3 linked regions of the Saccharomyces cerevisiae S288C genome follow. The gene in region 2 interacts genetically with the main gene of each other region. Each region holds a gene or a part of one and is shown on either strand. Other genes may lie near its edges.

What was found. A genetic interaction does not mean that the proteins touch.
Region 1: mutations in STB1 (region 2) and AEP2 together harm fitness more than expected from each alone (negative genetic interaction), as found in Saccharomyces cerevisiae (2 studies listed by BioGRID).
Region 3: mutations in STB1 (region 2) and CAD1 together harm fitness more than expected from each alone (negative genetic interaction), as found in Saccharomyces cerevisiae (2 studies listed by BioGRID).

The regions. Positions count from the first base shown.
Region 1 is NC_001145.3:830,949-839,186, reverse strand, and holds AEP2 (Aep2p), read left to right. Parts: upstream 1-4,088; coding exon 4,089-5,831; downstream 5,832-8,238. Other genes in the region: ATP-dependent DNA helicase YKU70, read right to left, coding at 1-1,000; RIT1 (tRNA A64-2'-O-ribosylphosphate transferase), read left to right, coding at 2,320-3,861; GPI12 (N-acetylglucosaminylphosphatidylinositol deacetylase), read right to left, coding at 5,934-6,848; DNA-binding transcription factor CAT8, read left to right, coding at 7,858-8,238. UniProt on the Saccharomyces cerevisiae protein: Required for translation of the mitochondrial OLI1 transcript coding for the mitochondrial ATP synthase subunit 9.
Region 2 is NC_001146.8:47,512-55,751, forward strand, and holds STB1 (Stb1p), read left to right. Parts: upstream 1-5,150; coding exon 5,151-6,413; downstream 6,414-8,240. Other genes in the region: tetratricopeptide repeat-containing protein EMW1, read right to left, coding at 1-511; RFA2 (Rfa2p), read left to right, coding at 776-782, 891-1,705; putative SCF ubiquitin ligase complex subunit SKP2, read right to left, coding at 1,886-4,177; ZIM17 (Zim17p), read right to left, coding at 4,396-4,920; KRI1 (Kri1p), read right to left, coding at 6,611-8,240. UniProt on the Saccharomyces cerevisiae protein: Involved in the regulation and timing of MBF-dependent transcription in late G1 of the cell cycle.
Region 3 is NC_001136.10:1,315,639-1,323,284, reverse strand, and holds CAD1 (Cad1p), read left to right. Parts: upstream 1-4,009; coding exon 4,010-5,239; downstream 5,240-7,646. Other genes in the region: proteasome regulatory particle lid subunit RPN9, read right to left, coding at 1-1,080; SNX41 (Snx41p), read right to left, coding at 1,344-3,221; DYN2 (dynein light chain), read left to right, coding at 3,444-3,468, 3,565-3,587, 3,668-3,898; SIP1 (Sip1p), read left to right, coding at 5,512-7,646. UniProt on the Saccharomyces cerevisiae protein: Transcription activator involved in oxidative stress response and cadmium resistance. Regulates the transcription of genes overrepresented for the function of stabilizing proteins including the inducible Hsp90-family protein HSP82.

The DNA.
Region 1 (8,238 bases), on a different chromosome or scaffold from region 2:
CCTTGACAGTTTTACCAGTAACGTCTTCTCCTGTTATAGGATTTAAAAATTTTCTTTTTGAATATGCTTCTTGTCTGATATCTTCATGCTCATAAACAAGTTTATACCTGACTCCAGCTTTTTCATGGGTATACATAGTGTAACCCTTGACTCCGACTATAAAATTTGTTTTCTCATCCAAGATTAATGGACATTGAAACATTATCCTCTTTACCTCCTTTTTCCTTAGGATTCTGGACTTGATGTATTTAGCATCTATAGGCTTTGTACTTGGACCATCAAATTCAGAATCCAAACCAGTATTCTCATTTGTATGTGAACCCAACTGCAGTATGTCCGAATAAAACTCGTTGTCAAATGGTTTATCGGCATAGCCAATAAAAAAAGTTGCAAAATTCACTTTGTTATCAAATAAATCAATTGTAAGCCTTCTCAATCTTGCCCGTTCATCGATATCTTGCGCCTCTTGTGGTTTATCAATGTCAGTGAATAAGAACACTCTCTTGTTGCTTAATTGCTTTTGACCCGGAATCTCTTCCAAAAAAGTGTCAAGCATGAATGTGAATAATACAGATAAGCGCACTTGCTTTTCACTCCCAGTTTGTTGAAACATAAAATAGTCGTATAGGCTTATTCTCCCCGATGATAAATCTTCTAAAAGATCGTTCAATTTCTTCATAAATGTAGCATTTATATCCCTTAATGGAAAAAGTTCATAGATACCTTCCTTGGCATCCTCTCTGTTACAGTAATAAAAATAGCAACCAATAGCTGTCCCAGGTCTTGTTATGACCAATTGTGACATTAGCTCATCTAGTGATTCCAGAATTTCCAACAATGGTGATTTATACTCTAGATCAGAGGACTCTTTAAACATTGTCTCTGATAGTTCAATGCAAAACAAAATTCCTTCATGGATATCAAACTTCCTATAACCTGTTTCATCCACTTGATCGTTAAGTTCTCCACTATTGCCAAATGCATTAGTGACTGAGCGCATAATATTCCCGTTTTAAAATCAGGCTTAGAGTCACTTAACAAATCATAGCTTTACTGTTGAAAACTAGAACAGTAATACAGAGAATGTCATTTGGTAGCTACCTTAAAGCAATCCCTAATACATGAAATTGAGAATCTTCAAAAATTAAGGTAATCAAAAGTAAAAAAATATCTCCCGGGGGCGAGTCGAACGCCCGATCTCAAGATTTCGTAGTGGTAAATTACAGTCTTGCGCCTTAAACCAACTTGGCTACCGAGAGTCAATTAACTGATAACCATTCAATTATGAGTCCGTCTAATATCATGCTTATTCACAATTTTAATATAAGCAACCTTGCAGAAGTGACCTGTTGTCAAAACGGAATATCAACTTGATTGAGGGGATGATAATTATCCTATATATTCTATAAATATGGATTATACTGAATATTGGGTGAATAATTTGATAATTGTTGGGATTGCATTGTTGATCAAGGCTATATAATATTATGTACACAGAATATATTAGAAGTTCTCCTCGAGGATAGAAATCTCAAAATGGAATCTATATTTCTACATAATAAAATTACGATTATTCCTCATTCCGTTTATATGTTTCATTATCCTATTACATTATCAATCCTTGCACTTCAGCTTCCATTATACTTGATAACTATTTCTCAATCCTTATTTTATGTTTTTCCACCGCATATTATAATATGCCAGTAATATTTATTCTTATTAATGGTCGTTAATTTCACACCAGGCGTGTTTATAACTGAGTAATCACTTTAAATTTGAGCATCCGGTTTTGCACCGTTAATAGTATCATTGTTAATTAGTAGGCAGGTTGTAGTATATTCTAAGAATAAAACAGGTGCCCTTAATCTGTACAAGAGAAGAGTATGAAATATGAATTACATTGGGCATATCGACTATACGCAATATATCAGTAGCTTCGACGATTTAGGTAGGTATAAGGGTTTCCTATACCTGTATACACAAATTTCAAACTTATGGCCGAGCCAGATAGTCCTTTAGCTATGCCTTCCATTACTTCTTGGAAAGCTTGTTGCATTTCCCGTCATATTATGTACGGTTACAACTTTTTTGTTGATTTCCATGCCCGAAGGGAGCTTAGCATAGCCGCTATTACATAATCTTATCATCTTCATCAAAAATGAACTTCTAAAATCATCCCACCACTCTATTGCTCTTCATATATGCGTTGTATGTTTATGTGCTTTGTTCTTATTACTGCTTAACTGTGACTGGGCCCATTATTCATTGTTCATATGCAGGAAAAAAAAAGCATGCTTGAAAATTTTGATCTCTTGATGGATGGTATCGAGGCTATCAAAGAGATATAGATCCAGAGTACAGTTTAGTATATCCGTGATGGATGAAAATATTTATCTTTCGCTATCTCAGATAAATAAAGACATCAGAAAGGAAAACAAGTCCGTAAGGAATCGACTTCAGAGTATTCTTTTAGACAATAAATTTTTGCAAGATCGAGTTATCCCTATATTTCCCCATTATCCACTGATACCCAATGAAAGATGTGGGCTATGGTACTGTAATCCATCAAGTTTCAAACAGACCAGTTACTTTAAGAGCACAGACGGGCATGTCAACCAATGGGACTTTAGCACCCGAAGATTGAACTTTCATTTGTTAGAGACCATTCGAGATAATAAAGGTATTATAATTGTCGATAGTACTAGAAGAGGTAAAAAAATCCCAGATGCTTTGAGTAAGACTGTCCCCATATGGTGTGCTGTATTAAATACGTTAATGCTTCAGGAAACAGAAAAAAATGTTGCCATCGATAAGGTACTGTATCTTCCACCTGAGACAGTTCCCAAATCAGAATATGACATGATTAAGCGAAAAATACCCGAACTAGTTGCTAAACTACAAAAATTGAATATTATAGATTCTAAGAAATTGAACGAACTGTTTATGGGTAAGTTATTGCGGCCCATATGGGTTCACCCTGGTTCTTCACTTCTAGACCATTCTGTTGATTACTTCACGGGTGAAGTACAGGAGTATGAAGCCTGGGAAACACCTGAAGACCAAAACATAATACCCATTATTTTGTGCACGGTAAGCTATCAAGCACAAGATGGTATGGATAAAAGATACGGCTTCACTTATGTGCAGGGTGCAGCCGACGATCACGAGCTCTGGTCTTTTGGTTTGGATTCAAATATGTTTTGGGCCCATATAGAATACCTAGGCGACGCAAGTTATTCAGACGACCAGTTACATGATTACATCATGGATTTGGCTGCTGCAAAGCTGAGAAATCAGTGTTATATACAAGATAAAGGAAGCTTGGATGAAGTCTTTGGAAACATTGATAAAATTACGAATGAGATATCTCTAGGAAAAGTGAGTTCAGGCTTAACCATCAATAAGAATTTGAAACAGAAATTGAAGTCAGAATATGGTAAAGTTATAATTTTCAGTAATTCGGTGACTGTTGCTGAAGATACAGACGATGAAGAAGAAAGTGGGACAGATCCGTTTATTTCAATATACAAGTTGCAAAGCGGAGACAAGAAAAGTTCAAAAGCTTTACGATCCACATTCCCTAGAATCCATGGAGAAATTCAATCGTTGTTTACAAATCGAGATGAAAAAATAAAGCCAATGCTAATATGCTGCAATACAGGTACTGATATGTCAATCGGTGTCATCTTAAGTATCCTTTGTACCAAATATACTGAAGAATGGATGCTTACGTCGGAGTTACCGGACATCAGTAAGCTTATTGTAAGAAAACACTTGACAAAATTGATTTCCCACTTGAAAGGACGCAACGTTAACCCTTCAAGAGCAACACTGAACAGCGTCAATAGCTTTTTAATGTAGTGAGTTAGGCAATACTGAGATGTTTACTCGCAATGTCACTGTATATTTTAATATCAAATAACGTCAGTTTTTATTAGAAAAAGAGCGGGTTACCGTTTATCCTGAACAGAAAAGGTTCATTGAAAAAGAGCCCTTCAGACATTGGCTAATGAAAAGAATATGTAAAATCAAGAACAAATTAACGAAGCTCTCCTTCGTTAACAGTCCACTACCTAAATTTATGATTAATGTGGATAAATAGACTGGTTAAACATCCATCCTACAGTGTTCTGAGGTTTTACACGAAGAGGCTCTGCACTGTATCAGTGAAATCGCTGCGTGAATTTGGTGTACTGCCGAATAGCACAATATGTCATTCTGTCTATCCCCGAAGAACGTATGTAATGGGTAGGGCTGTCATAAATGATATTTTAATCAAAAAATCCTATTCAACTCACACGGTATGTGCAATTGATCGATCAAAAGATGAAAATAATGGGAGCGCTTATGACAAATTCGAGGCAAAAGGTATACCTATAGATGTTCACACATTAAAACGAATTATCAGCTCGAGTGGAATGGATGAATCCGAATTTTCCAAGAGTATAAGTTACTTATTCGCGAAAACCGTGGACCCTGAACCGAAGGATGTTCTGTCTTTAGAGGACCTGTCTTTTCTTTTGAGCAAACTATACACACAACGGTTTCAAATTAGGAGAATCTGTAGAGACATAAACGCTAAATATTCAGAATTTTGGTTCAAACTTTTTTCCTTATATGCAGAAAAAGTTGATGCCAAGAGAAACCAAGTTAACTTACGGAATACGAAACTAGATGCATGTGAAATATTTGATGCAAATCTTATGATCAAGAACTTTATAGAGCTCGGTCAATTAGGTAAGGCTCAAAAAATTTTAAGCTTTATTCTTGATAGAAATCCTGATATATTACTGTCTCCGAAAAATGCAGATATTAGCACAATAGTTCACTTTTTACAACTGCGTTGTGGCGCTTTGGCGCCTTATTGGAAAATACCAGATAATAGTGAGCAAAAACAAGGTTTTTTAAGAAAAATGGTTCGACTAGGTGCGAAAAATACGTCAATTCGTCTTTCTTCTACTTACAAAGCCATGGATCACCAAACATTATTAAAGATTGCTGATCTTGCTCTGCAGGAGAAAAAGCTTTTGAATTCCGAGGATTTGTTGTCCACTTTAATTCAATCCTTTGGACACCTAGGCCAAACCCAAATATTGGAACGGTGTATTGAACATATATGGCAAATATCACCCCAAGAGTTTCCTAGTCACGTAGTAATTAAGCACCGAGGGTGCTATCCTAGTTCCAAAATACTCGTTTCAATCTTAGTGTCATTCTACTTTAATGACCACGATCTTCACAGAGGCCTAAGTATTTTGGATTCATTCATAAAGCACTATCCGGACGTGAAATTGGATGCGCTATTTTGGAGAAGGCTGTTTCAGCTAAGTCATTTTGCTTGGACACCAGCAAACGACAAGAAAGCCACTTCTGTTGTTAGATGTTGGCATTTAATGAAGCAGTGGTATGCATCTAAGCGGCTAAGGCCTTCAGTTGATTATGAGACGTTGAGACAACTGTACGATATCATGAAGAAAACAGGCAATTTCCCGCTTGGAATTGATGTTTTAAGGAGTTTCAAACCGGGGATCGAAAGAACGAGAGCAGAAAATGCTGGAAAAGTTAACAATATCATTATCAAATACCAAAAATGTATTATTAAGGAGCTTGTAAATAGAGGTAGATTTTCAGCGGTAAGGGAATTCATTGATAGTTATGGTTTTGATAGAAAAATGACCAAAGATTTGAATATTTTTTGTGCGAATCGTATGTTTCTAAGAAGTAAGAAAATGAAAAACAAGATTGAGAACAAAAAGGAAAGGGAGAAAGTGCGGCTAGATAGTTTCGATGACGATGAAGATGATGGTATGATTATAGGTAGCCTTTGGTAAGAAAAGTGTAAGTAGAATTAGCATTTATTTTTCTCCATATTCTTATTCTATAGGATGTAAATAATATGGGACTTTTTTATATATATATCTACAGTGTAGAGTCTAATATGTATAAACATCAAATTCATTAACGAAGACAAATCTGGAAAATATCCACCATCCGTATCTAAACCACACAACTTGGGATTCGTGAGCATTTAGCATAGTGGCAAACGCTAGTACGTATTGTGCATGTGTATTCATAAGTGAAAGCTTGTCTTTTTCGGCGGCTGTGTTAGGCGGAAGCGCCTGAATTATTCTACGGAATGGAGAAATCAGGTCGTAAAGTATTTTTAGGATTTCCCAAATAAAGGAGTTGTACTTTAAAACGATGTTGTTCTTGTAGCTTCTCAAATAAAGCGCAGTGACATGAGGTGGTTGTTCATTTCTTTTGGTCTTAGGTTGAGCATAATCATCCACCAACTTTTTAACGGCAGCATAACAGCTTTTGTGGTTGATATGATTTGATACACCATATGAATCAAAGGTAACGATAATCTGGTTCAAGTTATGATTCTTTATATCTATCTTTTGTGAAAGAGAAGAAGTTATAGAATCAATATCCCATATTTCGTCCATACCATCCTGGAAATCCATCACCTGTACGGAGACTGCTCTTTCATTGTGTAGCAATAAAGCGGCCGACTCATTTAATTCTCTTACCCTGGTTTCGCCAAGACCTTCGGCGTTGCCCTTTGATAAGCAGATTATGTTAAATGGGACGGTTCTCGGAAAGTACGAATTCAGTTGAGAAATTATGGGGGAAAAAAACATAACTTCGTCGTCAGGGTGCGCTATGACCAAATTGATTTCATAATCGCCATATTTATGAGGAAAAATATGCTGCAATGATGCATTGTTTCGGGAGACGATTTTGGGCGTAAAATAAATATATAGGATCGTCAGTACTATTGCTAGTTTAGTAATCTTGTAAAGCAATTTTGAAAAATTTACCTTTGTACGCCTCAACATCTTCATTTAACTTTTCTTCAGGGTTTGAAAGAATCTAATATACGGCTCTAGCGTCACCTATCTACACTTAACAATTCGATAAATAAGGAGGGCAATGCAAGATTATAAATAAAAGCGCAGCGTCGATTTTCCTTTTTCTATGACGTTAACGTAACTAGTAAACCTTCTAGAAGGGACGACTCCAATGAGATAGAAACGGCGAAGCGGGAATTTAGGAGTACTTGTTACCCGGCTACTAGTTTATTTCATACAAACACATTGACACATTCGCACATATACATCTACGAGAAATTACTGAATGTGAAAAGGATCAGAGGCAGTTAAAAGAGGTAACAACTTTTATCATCAGATTGTGATACGACTTATACTATTGAATGTGTATGATTACACAACTTTCCTTCTGCAGAACATTTTTACATCTGTTAAGATGGTGCAACATTTCTTTTTATTAGCACATTACTTTTGATGAAAGAGTATATTCAGTTATCGTAGCTCCTCTCACTTCTTTCTATCCGGTGTTTATTCGCGATATGAGTTGTGATATCAGAGACAGAGAGAGTTTATGTGCGTAACAGGAACGGAGAAAACCAGAGTAATTGAGTATTATAAGCAATAAATCATAAAAAGACATTCTTTCTCGTGCAATTTTTTGGTATTCGGGATAATCTTCTACTTGAAACTTCTTTTTTTCGGTGTTTAATTTGCCTATTGGTAAATATTTTTGCCGCCGAGGTTCTCAGTGATTATATTCGTATTAAGCGATAACCGAGACATGCATGGAGCGGCGGGGCTGATATTTTGTGGGGTACGAAAGCATGATTGGTCAGTGACACTCAAAAAAAGAAAACAGCCGTAAAATAGTAGATTTTGTTAAACTCCCCTTTAAACCTGTGATATTGTAAAAAGACGAAGAATTTAATAATTTAATAATTCATTACGGTATTTATTTCTTCATAAACAGTTACAACACCCTAAAGAGAATTTACAAGTTGAGTAAAAGACAAGACACAAAATTATGGCAAATAATAATTCTGATCGACAAGGTTTGGAACCCAGAGTCATTAGAACTCTGGGTTCACAAGCGCTTAGCGGTCCTAGCATATCTAATAGAACTTCAAGTTCGGAGGCAAACCCTCATTTTTCCAAGAACGTGAAGGAAGCAATGATCAAGACAGCTTCTCCGACTCCTTTATCTACACCTATTTACAGGATAGCTCAAGCTTGTGACAGGTGTCGATCTAAGAAAACAAGGTGCGATGGAAAAAGACCACAGTGTTCGCAGTGTGCTGCTGTCGGATTTGAATGCAGAATAAGCGATAAATTACTGAGGAAAGCGTATCCAAAAGGGTACACAGAAAGCCTGGAAGAAAGAGTACGCGAACTGGAGGCAGAGAAT
Region 2 (8,240 bases):
TAACATCAAATAAGCTTTTTTGGCCGGTTATCCTTTCAAGTAATAATAGTGATAAAACCAAATACAATGGATCATCCATAAATTCGTAGGCAGGCTGGCCCATAATGGCTAATGAGCGGGAAAGGGCTGTATTAACTGCTCCTATTTCAATTCCAGTTTTGCCAAACAAACCTGAGATTGCTTTCAACCTAGCTGCTGGGCCGGTGTAGTTATTTTGAATAAAGGTCTGTAAGAGGGCAATAGCCAAAAATAGCATCTCATTTTCTTGGCCCATTTTGAAAACCTCAACGTTAAGAAAGTCATTTAGAGCAGCAATAACACTAGATGTGGATATTTCTCCCGAAATACTAATTTTTCCCTTAAATTTGTCCACAAATTGCTGTACTAGCTGGTATGATTCACCACTGATGATATGTTCAGCCTTTTTCACATATGTCTGGTCGAAAGAACCACTTTTCAGAGATTCTACTTCTGCAGACAGCAATAATTTTGCATGCAATAACGTCTCCATAATTTTGCAACCACTAGTTTACTTTTTGCCTGGTCTGATAGCTTCTTTTTAGCAATTCCTTTGGCCTCGATGAGCTTCCATTTTCAATTTTCATCTTTTTTTTCACGATGCGAAGTTTCTTAGATAATTATCGCCATATACGAAACGCGTTAGGAAACGCGTTCTTTCCTTTATAATAAGCAATATTATATCAACTTAAGGTGGAAGTAATGTGGCAAAATCGATAGCGACTATCTAGAACAGGCTAGTTTAAGCATATACATAATGGCAAGTATGTATTAGTGCTAGGAATTGGAGGATTTGCTCTTTTCTGCATCATTTTTTTTATTTTTATTGGCGAATGTTAAAATTACTAACAATGGATGGGATTCCAATACAGCCTATCAACCATATAACGAATATTCATCAGTAACGGGCGGTGGCTTTGAGAACTCTGAGTCCCGCCCAGGTAGTGGGGAGTCGGAAACTAACACTAGAGTTAACACCTTGACACCTGTGACGATCAAACAAATTCTAGAGTCCAAACAGGATATTCAGGACGGCCCCTTCGTTTCGCATAACCAAGAACTTCATCACGTTTGTTTTGTAGGTGTGGTGAGAAACATTACAGACCATACTGCAAATATTTTTTTAACTATTGAGGATGGAACTGGTCAAATAGAAGTGAGAAAATGGAGCGAAGATGCAAATGACTTGGCTGCCGGTAACGATGACTCTTCTGGTAAAGGTTATGGTTCGCAAGTCGCCCAACAATTTGAAATTGGCGGTTACGTAAAAGTTTTTGGTGCTTTGAAAGAGTTTGGTGGTAAGAAAAATATACAGTATGCGGTGATTAAGCCCATAGATTCATTCAATGAAGTGTTGACGCATCACTTGGAAGTCATCAAATGTCATTCCATAGCCAGTGGAATGATGAAACAACCTTTGGAGAGTGCATCCAACAACAATGGGCAATCATTATTTGTCAAGGATGATAACGATACATCTTCCGGCTCCAGTCCGTTACAAAGAATTCTAGAATTTTGTAAGAAGCAATGTGAGGGCAAAGACGCTAATTCATTCGCTGTTCCCATTCCATTGATCTCGCAATCCTTGAATTTGGATGAAACTACCGTCAGAAACTGCTGTACGACCTTGACTGACCAGGGTTTTATCTACCCAACTTTTGATGACAATAACTTCTTTGCCCTATGAAAATATATAGATTATTTTTTTAGCATTTCTTAGTATTCGTTTGTGTATTTCTACTAGGTAAGTACCAAAATTTGCCGGAAATAGAGTGGAAAATGGAACCCGTTCCAAGAAGGGGTAAGATGCATGAATATTAAGTTGGTTGCATAAATATGCTATATAAAGTCCACTACAAAAAGTCATTTATTTTTGCCCGTAAGAATAAAGAACGAATCCGTCCTTATCTCTGACTTCAATGGGAACATTTACACGCAGTACGGGCTTCAATAATAGTTCCCAGTCGTATCTGGTTCTAGGTGTACATAATGAAAAATGTCTCAGCATTCTTATTTTGACAGCTTTGAATTTTGACAAATTTCTCAGGAAACACCAGAGGTTAATATTTGGAATATCTTTAAAATTCTCTGGATCTTGGAAATCATTGAAAAAATTTTCCAATGTCACATTTTGTAAGAACTCCTCCACATCTAAATCTCTATATTCGATGGTTCGGTTCTTCAATTTGATTAAACTATCTCTTAGGCAACGCCTTACAGAGTTGTTCCAATAGTAAGTGTGGTGAATGTCTGATTCAGGGCTCATTACTGTACTTAAATTTGGAACTGCATTAGCATTTGGTATGTTATCTCTTATGGAATTATTTTCGTAACCGATTAATGTTTCTTGATCGTTCTCGTCGCCAACATCCTCATCTGTCTCATCAACACTAGTAATTGTTCTTGCTAGATGTTCCCAAAACGATAGAGGGGATAAAGGATACACATTGGTAAAGGGGATATTGATTACGTTAATAGAAATATTTTTACTTGGAAGTCTCTCCCAAAGTAAGCGGTAATAATGGTAGAAAGAATGAAATTCAGGGATTCTTTGTCGTTGAAAATTTTGTAGCTGTGCCGCAGTTAACATGGCGGGCTTTTTGTTATTGTCTGGTGATGGGTTATTTGAAACATCATTTCCTGTAGTTCTAGAAATATAGTTCAGATTTAAGGACAATACAACTGAAGATGTCGGCGGAGGAGTAATTATCTTCGAATCTGATGGCGCTTCAAATAATGTTTCTGTCATGGAATTGCAGTCATCAAAATCATCTTCTGTATCCAAACTTCGCTGTTGGAAATAATATGATTCGCCGACTACCTGTTCGTTAGTGAAACATTTGCTATTACAATCAATTGTTAGATTGGATAACGATGGGAAACAACTGCATAACAATAAGTCGAATTTACTGTTAATCTTCAGTAAGGATAGATGTTTGACCATTTTAAAGTAAGAGTGAAACAAACGTAATATTCCATTTCCAGGAACTACATCACATGAATCTAAAGTAAGTGCAGTGATAGGAGACTGTAAACTGTACAGTTCATTATCTTCGTTCTTTAGAAATAGTGGTAAGAATTCCATTGGAGTATCTAGCGATTCGGTGTCTATCGTTACATTTTCTAGTTTAAGTTCATTAATTATGCCGAAACAGCAGAATAAACTCGGTCTTAGTACGAGCTTTTGGTGATGGCGTTGACGATTAAAGGTTCTTTGTCTTTTATTATTAGCTTTGATTTCCAGTATTTTCAACCTTGGCAGAGAATAATACTTGGATTCGTATTCTTTGACAAATTTTTTGGATAGTTGGAAAGTCCTCAAATCTTCGTTTGTGATGGATTGCTGGCCCTTGATTATTTTCTTGAAAAAATCTCTAGATCCATCGTTGAATACAGAGTACCATAAAGGAATTTTAAAATTCGGTTCCACATCACTCAGAATCACTCTGGTCAGGTTCGGTAGATAGTCTATAATATCAAGCATTAGCTCAATATAAGTATAATGGAAGTAGTTGCTTTCCAATTTATCAAGCAGTTTGATTCGTTCTGAAGTTATGATGGGAGTCTCATCGTTTAGTCTGATGTTATTCAGTTTTTTTACGTCTTTATCATACGAATCGAGTTTATAAGATCCAGCAATAATAGAATCTTGGCCACTCTTATTATAGAACTTACTGTATTTTAACAACGAGTCTTGGGACTGAGGATTTTTGAATTCGATGGATCTTACGAGGAACCTTGCATTTTGTGATCTAGATTGTGTGCTACAATCACCGCTGTGTGTGACAATGTTCGACGTGTGGAACTCGGAGTGTATCAAAGCATTGAACTTTAACAACGAAAGTTTTGAGTCCAAAATAACGTTTTGGAAAAGGAACTCATTCGTAATCAAATTGTAGAACCTCGAATTGACTTGGCATAGTGTTACTAATGTATTGAAGTCCAAAGTTCGCAGTATTAACAGTAGAACTTTTGTTGGCAAACACATGAGGGACGATTTATCGTTGAAGCGTAGTGATCTCGATTTGATATCATGGCTCGTACTATGTAGAAGGCTTTTGGCATCAGCACAGCCCTCTTCCTCTTCTTCTTCCTCCTTCGCAGCACTGGAGACCAGCGAGAAATATTTTGATCTACCAAACAATTGCAACCGTTTCATGATTCGGTTGGTTTGAACGTTTGAAAATGCGGTTCAACTTTTCATATCTAGCAGTGGCTCATCTTTATGTACTCTAGTCCTAAATCTTCTGCTGGTTATCGCAAAAAAATATGTGATGTGCGGGTTTTTGGCAGTAATCATGACTCAGTCTCTGGAAAAACGTGCTATTTAACGGTTATATATCTATCTATGTACATGCCTGTGCATGAGCTCTTCATTCATTTCTGGGAAGGGTGAGGGAGCTGGGATGCATTTTCTGAGTTGTTCTTGGCATATTTTCCCAGGACGTCCTTTAGCGAATCTGGGATGTCTTCAAACTCCAAGTCGCCCACGTCTTGGCTAACTTGTTCTCCGTTAGCTTTCATTAACTGTTCCACGGTAACATGATGATCATGGAATATTTTCAGATGGTCTGCTATCAAATGTCTCACTTTGCAGTGCGGACAAGAGATCAAGACAGTACCTTTCTCGTACGCCTGCTTGGACATTGTGTGTGAAGATCGGGTGTTACATTTCTTGCAGGTGAAAGCTATCATCATCTTAGGCTTGTCTACCTTAAAAGACCCCAAATGAACCTTCTTATCGTCCTTTTTCACTTCATTATGTGCGATGATATTGGTATGCAACGCTGCTGCGGGTAGAGTACGGCACACGTTGTAGCGTACGCGAGGCGCCCAACATCTGGCAAAGTACCTGGTAATTGGTATTTTACTTTGCAGTAGTGTTCTAGTCCTCGGAATCATGTTCAGTCTCTTGATATTCCAGTTGCACCGGTGCTGCTTTAGTATCGCTGATCCCTTGAAGCCAACATGACGCTCTTTCACCTTTCCTCTCATAATTTTGATATCACGCGAAAATGCAAGAAAAAAAAATTACAATTATGAAGTGCAGAAGGAACCAAAAATATCATCGAAAGAAGGAGTACGTAGAGCGTTACTATTTTCAATCAGTGTTCCCATTGTGCATACAAGAAATGTCTCAACCCCAGATGTCCCCTGAAAAAGAGCAAGAATTGGCCTCCAAGATTTTGCATAGAGCTGAGTTGGCTCAGATGACGCGTCAATTAAAGCTTGGTTTAAGTAATGTCCCATCAACAAAACGAAAACAGGACTCTACAACAAAGAAAAGAAGCGGAGAGGATGCCGAAGATGTTGATGAGGACCACAAAACTCTTTTGGAAGCCATATCGCCTGCGAAAAAGCCTCTCCACGATGATACAAATAAAATGACTGTTATATCGCCCGTAAAATTTGTAGAGAAGCCAAATACTCCCCCAAGTTCACGCCAACGAAAAGCCGAAGACCGCTCACAGCAGATCAAGCCTAGGAAGGAGGACACTCCATCTACTCCGAGGGCTTCTGCTACACCTATAATCTTACCACACGCTTCGTCACACTACCAGCGCCCCCATGATAAGAATTTCATGACGCCAAAACGTAATAATAACAACAGCAGTAACCATAGCAATAACAATAATAATATCAAGAAGAAGGCAGCAGGCTCTAAGGATGCTCCACAGGACAGCGACAACACTGCGGGCGCTGATCTCTTAATGTATTTAGCCACAAGTCCATATAATAAGTCATCACATCATGGAACACCGATGGCCGTAAGGATGCCCACTACTCCACGCTCTTATCATTACGCGTCGCAATTGAGTTTGAACGGTAATACAGCAAGCACATCAAACGATGCAGTAAGATTCTCTCATATCAAACCTTCAGCGTCTTCTCCGCAGTCCACTTTCAAATCTAATCTGTTACCGAATTTTCCGGACGAATCTCTCATGGATTCTCCATCACTATACTTGAGCAATAATAACGGTAGTGTCCAGGCGACACTATCGCCACAGCAGAGAAGAAAGCCCACCACAAACACATTGCATCCACCTAGTAACGTACCTACCACGCCTTCAAGAGAATTGAACGGTACCAATTTTAACTTACTCAGGACGCCCAACTTCAACATGGGAGACTATCTGCATAATCTTTTCAGCCCTTCACCAAGGGTCCCCGCCCAGCAGGGAGCGTCAAACACGTCAGCTTCAATTCCTTCTGTTCCAGCGATGGTGCCCGGATCATCTTCCAACACTTCTGCGATAGCAACAGCTGCTATATCAAGCCACACCACAAACAATTTTCTAGATATGAACGCAAACGGGATCCCGCTCATTGTAGGACCCGGCACCGACCGTATAGGCGAAGGGGAGTCCATTGATGACAAACTCACTGATTGATCGTTGACGGCCATATCAGTTGATGATTCCATACTTCCTGAAATGGACCACTCAAAGGGACAAAAATGACAAATGTTGAAATTATAAAATTACATATTAATACGTAAAATGACATTCTTTTTTAGGGAAATTCGGAGATAGATTATCACTATGTAAGCTTATGTATCGTAATATACAGGGCCGATATTTCACCTAGTTTACTTTTTCTGGTGGCCTTTATGTTTATGACTGTGCCCCCTCTTGTGTTTGCTTTTAGAGGCTTTCTCTACAGGTATCAGTATGGTGTCCTCATCCTTCTCCCCTGCCTCTGCTTCGACTGGAGCTAACCCATTTTCGTTCTTAAAAGTTTTCTTCCTCCACTCTCTTAATCTTCTTGCCTTCATCACTTTCCTTTTATCCTTCGCTCTTAGTTCCTTGGAACGATAAGGTGCAAATTTCTTCAAACCAATAAATTCATTTAAATCAGTATCATCGGCGGCGAAAATCTCTCTTGCGGTCAAACCGAAACTCTCAGGAGAAACTTCACGGTAACGAAACTTCAAATCTTGCTCCTCTTTTGTACGGCTTCTACTCTTTCTTTCTTCTTCTTCTTTTTCAACCTCCTCTATTAGTGCTAGTTTGTTTTGTTCCAAAGCATTTTCCACTAATTCATTTACCTTTCTCTTTTCTTTCTTCTTTTGCAGTTTCTCTTCTTTCTTGCTCTTCTTTCTTTTTGGACCTTCTTCCTCGTCTTCTTCTTTTTGTTCTTTTTCCACTTCACCTTCTTCTGTTTGGTCATCACCATCGGCGTCTGCATAAAAGTCACCCATTATTTCGTCATCCTCGTTCCAGGTAGGCTTTCCCTCTTGTTGATAAAATTCTTCATTAAATAATTCAGCTACCACGTTATCCCACTCTTCTTCTTTGAAATCGTTCTTCAATAGGGTGTCAGTGATTTTTTTCACCATGTCGGCATTAATTTCAGCACCATATTCCTTTGTTAGTTGCTCTAAAATGTCAGTCAATTTATTCAATTTTTTAGTCTTCTTTTTCTGAAGAGCTGTCTCCTTCTCTGCTTTTATTTGCTCTTTAATTTTTCTTTTTTCCTCTCTTTTTCTTCTGCGTGAAGAGTCATCGGATCTTCTTAGTGTAGCTTGACTACGTGCATAAGATATAATTTCAGCTGCGTTTGGGTCCTCGTACCTAAAATTGTAGGCATTCTCAAATTTTTCTGCAGCATCTTCAAATTCTTCATCGTCCTCTTCATTATTGTTGAGGTCAAGAGAAATCACCTTGTCCCCCTTCTTAGGAATCCAGGCCTGTTGATTCACAAATTCTTCCAAGAAATTTTCTTCATTTACGGTTGGATCCGGTAAATTTTTTCCTTCCTTCTTCGTAGAAGGTTCCTTTTTCTTCAAAAACCCATCGTCTTCATCTCCGCTAGACTCTTCATTTTCTTCATCGCTAAAGGCACTCTTGATTTCATTTAAAAGCTGAGTTTTCTCTTCACGTTGTTGCGAGACGAAAGATTGCTTTCCGTCAACAGTTGCATGTTCGTATTCTTCGTCATCCTCCTTTAAGGCATCACCAGAAAGTATGTTCATACGGTGATAATCTTTTAGGTAAATAGGTTTATGCTTCCCCTCACGATTGGCCAGTTTGGCAGCAGCAGATTCGGGATCCTCGAAGAATTTGACTTTAGGATCTAGTAGTTTGTCCGTCTTATTGTTTTTGATGGCATCTAGCACTTGATTAATACCGTTTTCCACTTCATCAGTAATCAATTCACCGTAATCATCTTCCTCCTCTTCTTCCTCTTCGTCTTCTTCCTCATCTTCACTAGGAACG
Region 3 (7,646 bases), on a different chromosome or scaffold from region 2:
ACCACTTATGATTCTTGGTTGGACCCAGGAGATGGTAACGAGTTCATTTACTTGGTCAATAGAACCCTTTAATAGACCCAAACTTATGGCTCTCATGACCAGGTGTTCGACATTATCCTTTGGTAGGTGTGTAGCCTTTGAAATATCTTCAAATGAAAGCATCCTAATATTTTTGACAAAAACTGTTTCAATTAATGTCATTAGGCAAATTTTTTGTCGTAAAAATGATTCATGTTGAGCCAATATAGGAATCTTTGATATTTGAACTTTTATCAATGAGTCGAATTTATCAAAATCACCAACGGTTAGAGCATTTAATAATTGGAAAAGCCAATCGTAATTGGAATCGTTGACTATAGTTTCCATTATTGGATGGTGTAATAGTTCGCCAAAATTATAGATTTTGTCACCTAACAATGCTGAGATACTCAAATCATAGGCCAATTGTTGACGTTCGGCTAAAGTAATGCTTGTAGATGGTTCTAAGGTAGAAAGGTATAATAGACTTGTGTAGTAGAAAGAATTGAAATCATTTTTAAATTTAAAATACTGGGAATTTGTAGAATAGAAGCTGTTTGTTATCCTTAATGGAATGGAATCCTTTTTATCCAATGTCTTTTCCAAATCATCTAATAAATCTCTTGCCTTAACGAGGTCGTTCTTTAACAGGTAAGTTCTAGCAATTTCGCTATCTATCAACAAAATACCATCACCATGGTCTTTTGATCCATTATTTCTTTGTTTTTTAGAGTCCAATTCTTGAAATTGAGCCTTCAAATCATCCAAATATTTTAAAGACTCATCGAAATCCTTAGAATCCTTCAAAGAGGCAAGTAGATACTTTACTACTGACAATTGGTTGATTTTATCATAAAATTTAGAAACGAAGTTATCATATAATCTGAGCCTCAATGGTGTAGATTTAGCATCATCAAAAAATTTAGTCAAGGATTCGGACAATTGGAACCACAATTTCTCTTCATAAAATTTCTCAAATTGTTCGAATAAAGGATGCAAAGAGGGATCTGCCTCCATGCGGAGAGTGCTTAATATGGTGTCAATTTCATGATTATTAAACATCTTGCGAAATATAATGTGGTTTCCTCGCGTGTGCCCACTGTTTGCTTTTTGGTACTTAATAGTTTCTTCAATCTAGGTCTAGCTTTTATTTGTTCTTACTTTTGCCACCGGATGAAAGCGGGGAGCGGGTAAGAATGAAAATGATAATAATAGGATAAATGAATGTGTGTATTCAAATTTTTCTAACGTATACGTTATATGTATATATATATATATATATATGTATATGCTATTTGCAACACGATGCGTGACGGTAATGCTTTTTATAGGGCCTCGTCGATTTGTAACTTTGCCAGTTTCCAATTCTTCAGACATTCTTTGATCCATGCTTTGAAGCTAGCTGCGAAAAGTTTCAAGATCTTTCCAATGGTCAAATTAATATGGTTATATGTATGCATTAAGCTGTTGTATGACGAATTGTTAATTTCTAGCATGTCTGATATACAGATTGATAGACAATCTTTCAATTTGGATAAATCTTGGTTCAACTGTTTGATCTGTTTAGATCTTTCTTGTTCAGTCAATTGTTTGATTTCTAATTTATTGAGATTCATTGTTGGCGTAGACGTTTTATAGTTTAGTTTACTTGCGCCTATATGAATTTCGTTTTGGTGTCCACTGGAGCTTGAATTTGAACTTGACTTCGATAGCGATCTTACGTCCTTTTTAACAAATGTCAGGTCAGCAGCCTTTGTATCTTTGTAATTTTCATCTGTCAATATAGTCGACCGCGTTAAACTTTCATTAATCTTCTGCAGTTGGTTTTCAATCTCAGTGAGACTCGAAAGTTTCGTTTCTTTTTCGATAATTAGCCTCTCTAATATTTTAAATTGCAAAAACTTTAATTTCTTGAAATTTAGAACTTTGAATGACTCATTTAAGAACTGCAATAACTCATTAATGGGGTCCTCAAGAATAGAGGTGTACTTTTCTATTAAGATCTCGGAAGAAATGTATATAACATCGAATGAATGGCCTGTCTTTTCAATATGACTAATAATTTCCATCATTGGGTTGTTTGAATTGTTTTCAGATTCGCGAAGGCTGTTGGGCATGGTTATGTCATTTTCCAAACTAAAAGCATTATAATATGCGCCTAATTCAGCAAAATACGTGGACAAGGAGTGGAAATGAGATTTATTTGATCTTATGTTTTTTAATAAATGGGTGATTATTCGCTTATAATTTTGGAATAAATTTTCAATATGTGTAAATTGAGATTCGTTTTGTAAAATTTCTGTTGGGAGGTTGGAAATTTCATTATGACTTTTTACTGTGATGTGTTGTTGCCAAATCGAATTATAGTTTCTCAGAGACGAGTTGGATGGAATAGGTAAAATAGAATGAAGGGGGCTTGGTTTTGTTGGGCTTAAAGGTGGAGCTAAAAGGTTATTCAAAGGTAGTATGATTATCGGCGACGAACTTAAAACATCTTTCCAATTAAATTCAGGGTTTAGAAATTTTTGAAAAACAATATCGTTGCTTATTTCTTGAATGTTCAGACAGTTAGACAAGAATGAATTGAGCATTTTCTTCCTGGTGGAGATAATTTTGGAATCATTTGCTGCGTTTATGGGACTCCATATGTATTTGAGAAGAGAATGCTTGGATGGAATGGGTGGAATAATTATCGTAGGAAGGAGTCTAGTTAGAGATTGCCTCAAAGAATGAAATTCAGAGTACCTTCTGATAATCTTGTTGTTTTCATATAGAATTACGTAACCGATAGCGTGTTTCCCCCATGGATCTTTGAAATCGCCGGCATCAATGATTTGGATCTGCTGTGTCCCATTCATATCGTGGGGAGTAAATTTGCTAATAGTAGCAGTAGTAGACATCGACAAGGAAACAAAAGGTTCAGTTTCCGCATCTGCTTCCACTACGGCATGAGAAGAGGTTGAAGATGACGTAGATGCTCTGGAAGAGCCAGCAGAAGAGGAATGTGCCGGGCTAGATGGCAAAGACGATGAAGAAGGGGGCGAATTTTCGTTCTCTGGGCGAGCTTCGCCGATAGTAGTCCCAATTCCAGAAGCATATAGGTGATGAGTGCCGACGAATGGATTATTATCTTCTTCTGAGAGATCCATGTCAGATGTGCTGCTTTGTTGTTCATGTACCGCCTCAAATATGTTGTAGTCCATTTTTTCTGTATGTGTAGTAGTATCCGTTGTTACTCACTACGTGTATAGATGTCTATTTATGTCTCTATCCCTTATCTCTTTATCTTGTTGCCTGGTTCTCTTTTCCCTTTAAATGGAGATTACAAACTAGCGAAACTGCAGAAAAGGAAAGCCTCCAAAACTACTGCCAGGGTAAAAAGTGAAACTGGGAAACGACATAAAGAAGAGCAAATTAAAACCAAAATGAGCGATGAAAATAAGAGTACGCGTATGTCAGTTAATCTCAGTCACAATTTTGTGACTTTCAATACAATTTTTCTTTACTAACTCGAGGAAGAGTGAGGTTTTCTTCCATGAATTGCAGCTATTGTTAAGGCGTCTGACATAGTATGTAATTGTGCCATGATATACATGTTTTGTGTGTGTACATTTGAATATATATATTTACTAACAAGGAGAAAACTTAGACCGACAAGCTGAAAGAGGATATTTTAACCATCAGTAAAGATGCTCTGGACAAGTACCAGTTGGAAAGAGACATTGCTGGGACGGTAAAGAAGCAATTGGATGTCAAATACGGCAATACCTGGCATGTGATTGTCGGAAAGAACTTTGGGAGCTACGTGACACACGAAAAGGGCCATTTTGTTTATTTCTATATCGGTCCACTGGCGTTTTTAGTTTTCAAAACAGCATAAATAGTGTTTCTTCAATAGTTAATCGATAATCAATTACTATTATACTTTCATACGAATGGGGTGTTACTTTTAAGGACGACATATAAGCAATGGAACGACCAGTTAAGATAAATGGGCAATATCCTTCGGAAAGGTCAGCAAATATATTTAGCAGGTGACATGAAGAAGCAAATGTTGCTAAATAAAGATGGAACACCTAAGAGGAAGGTGGGCAGACCAGGCAGAAAAAGGATTGACTCTGAAGCTAAGAGTAGGAGGACTGCCCAGAATAGGGCAGCTCAACGAGCGTTCCGAGATAGGAAAGAAGCCAAAATGAAGAGTTTGCAAGAGAGGGTAGAGTTACTAGAACAGAAAGATGCGCAGAATAAGACTACCACGGACTTTTTACTATGTTCTTTAAAAAGTTTACTGTCGGAAATTACAAAATATAGAGCTAAGAATTCTGATGATGAAAGAATATTAGCCTTCCTCGATGATCTGCAAGAACAACAGAAAAGGGAAAACGAAAAAGGAACAAGTACAGCAGTTAGCAAGGCTGCAAAGGAATTGCCATCGCCTAATTCAGATGAAAACATGACTGTGAACACAAGTATAGAAGTACAGCCGCACACTCAAGAGAATGAGAAAGTTATGTGGAACATAGGCTCATGGAACGCTCCCAGTTTAACCAATTCGTGGGATTCTCCCCCCGGAAATCGAACAGGTGCCGTTACCATCGGTGACGAAAGTATTAATGGTAGTGAAATGCCAGATTTCAGTCTCGATCTTGTCTCCAATGATAGACAGACTGGTCTAGAAGCTTTAGATTACGACATTCATAACTACTTTCCTCAGCACTCTGAACGCCTGACCGCTGAAAAAATAGATACGTCAGCATGTCAATGTGAAATTGACCAAAAGTATCTTCCATACGAGACAGAAGATGATACTTTATTCCCCAGCGTGCTTCCCCTTGCTGTAGGGAGCCAGTGTAATAATATTTGCAACCGCAAGTGTATCGGGACCAAACCATGTTCAAATAAGGAGATCAAATGCGACTTAATAACAAGCCACCTGTTGAATCAGAAATCTCTAGCTTCGGTGCTTCCGGTGGCTGCTTCTCATACTAAAACAATTCGAACCCAATCTGAAGCAATTGAACACATTAGCAGCGCCATATCGAATGGAAAAGCGTCTTGCTACCACATTCTCGAAGAGATCTCCTCCCTACCAAAATATTCATCGTTGGACATAGATGATTTATGCAGCGAATTAATAATCAAGGCAAAATGTACAGATGACTGCAAAATAGTAGTCAAAGCTCGCGACTTACAGAGTGCTCTGGTTAGACAGCTCCTGTAGCATATAAACATATCTTGAGTATACATAATGTTGGATGAGAGCATGTAATATTGATCGCTTTGTACGATGATTATACCTTTTTTGTCTTTTTACCATTGTCTCTGATGGAATACTATTGACAATTAACAATGGTAGATATATCCGATACAAGTGGATACCTACATAAACAAGGTGTCTTACCTAGTGTTTCTTTCATTTGCACTTCTTTTTTTGCGTGTGGACTGACATCTTGGAAAGTTGAACTGTCATATTATATAGTTGTTGCAGCCGCCATGGGAAACAGTCCTTCTACTCAGGATCCATCGCATTCAACCAAAAAGGAGCATGGACATCATTTTCATGATGCATTCAATAAAGATCGTCAGGGAAGCATAACCTCTCAACTGTTTAACAATAGGAAGAGTACTCATAAGAGACGCGCCAGTCATACTAGCGAACATAATGGTGCCATTCCCCCTAGAATGCAATTACTTGCATCTCACGATCCATCGACAGATTGTGATGGGCGCATGAGCAGTGATACTACTATCGATAAGGGCCCGTCCCATCTATTCAAAAAGGATTATTCTTTGTCCTCTGCCGCAGACGTAAATGACACTACGTTGGCCAATTTGACTTTAAGTGATGATCACGATGTGGGTGCACCCGAAGAGCAGGTGAAATCTCCGTCGTTTTTGAGCCCAGGTCCATCAATGGCCACTGTCAAACGAACTAAAAGTGATCTGGATGATCTGTCTACTTTGAATTACACCATGGTTGACGAAACAACAGAAAATGAAAGAAACGACAAACCACACCATGAAAGGCATCGCTCAAGCATCATAGCTTTGAAAAAAAATCTTTTAGAAAGTTCAGCTACTGCTTCCCCTTCTCCAACGAGGTCTTCATCGGTGCATTCAGCATCACTTCCCGCCTTGACCAAGACGGATTCCATTGATATTCCTGTAAGACAACCCTATTCAAAGAAACCATCTATCCATGCATACCAATATCAATATCTCAATAACGACGAAACATTTTCTGAGAACTCTCAAATGGATAAAGAGGGAAACAGTGATAGTGTAGATGCAGAAGCAGGCGTACTTCAAAGTGAAGATATGGTTTTGAACCAGTCTCTTTTACAAAATGCTTTAAAAAAGGATATGCAACGTCTTTCAAGGGTGAATTCCTCTAATTCAATGTATACTGCAGAAAGGATAAGCCACGCTAATAACAATGGAAATATTGAAAATAACACCCGTAACAAGGGAAACGCGGGAGGCTCCAACGACGATTTTACCGCACCTATATCTGCTACTGCAAAAATGATGATGAAACTGTACGGTGATAAGACCTTGATGGAAAGAGATTTAAATAAGCACCATAATAAGACAAAGAAAGCCCAGAATAAAAAAATAAGGTCGGTTTCAAATTCGAGAAGATCCTCATTTGCTTCTTTGCATTCTTTACAATCAAGAAAGAGTATCTTAACAAACGGTTTGAATTTGCAGCCTTTGCATCCACTACATCCAATTATTAACGACAATGAAAGTCAATACTCTGCACCGCAGCATAGAGAAATATCGCATCACTCTAATTCCATGTCGAGTATGTCTTCAATATCATCAACAAACTCCACCGAAAATACTTTAGTTGTTCTAAAATGGAAAGACGATGGTACCGTGGCTGCAACCACGGAAGTCTTTATAGTAAGCACGGATATTGCTTCTGCTCTTAAAGAGCAAAGAGAGCTTACCTTGGATGAGAATGCAAGTTTAGACTCAGAAAAACAGTTAAATCCTAGGATCCGCATGGTTTATGATGATGTGCATAAGGAATGGTTTGTTCCAGATCTTTTTTTGCCTGCAGGAATTTATAGACTGCAATTCTCCATCAATGGTATATTGACTCACTCAAATTTTCTTCCTACAGCTACGGATTCAGAAGGCAATTTTGTCAACTGGTTTGAAGTATTGCCCGGTTATCATACGATCGAGCCATTTAGAAACGAAGCAGACATCGACTCGCAAGTAGAGCCAACACTGGATGAAGAATTGCCCAAGAGACCGGAACTTAAAAGATTTCCTTCTTCCTCTCGAAAATCTTCCTACTATTCTGCTAAGGGTGTTGAAAGGCCAAGTACACCGTTTTCAGATTATAGAGGCTTAAGTAGGTCCAGTTCAATAAATATGCGTGACTCATTTGTACGTCTGAAGGCTAGCAGTTTGGATTTGATGGCCGAGGTCAAGCCTGAGAGGTTGGTGTATTCGAACGAAATACCAAATTTATTTAATATAGGTGACGGCTCTACGATTTCTGTAAAAGGAGATTCTGATGACGTGCATCCCCAAGAACCTCCCAGCTTTACACATAGAGTTGTTGACTGTAATCAAGATGATTTATTTGCTACTTTACAGCAAGGCGGTAA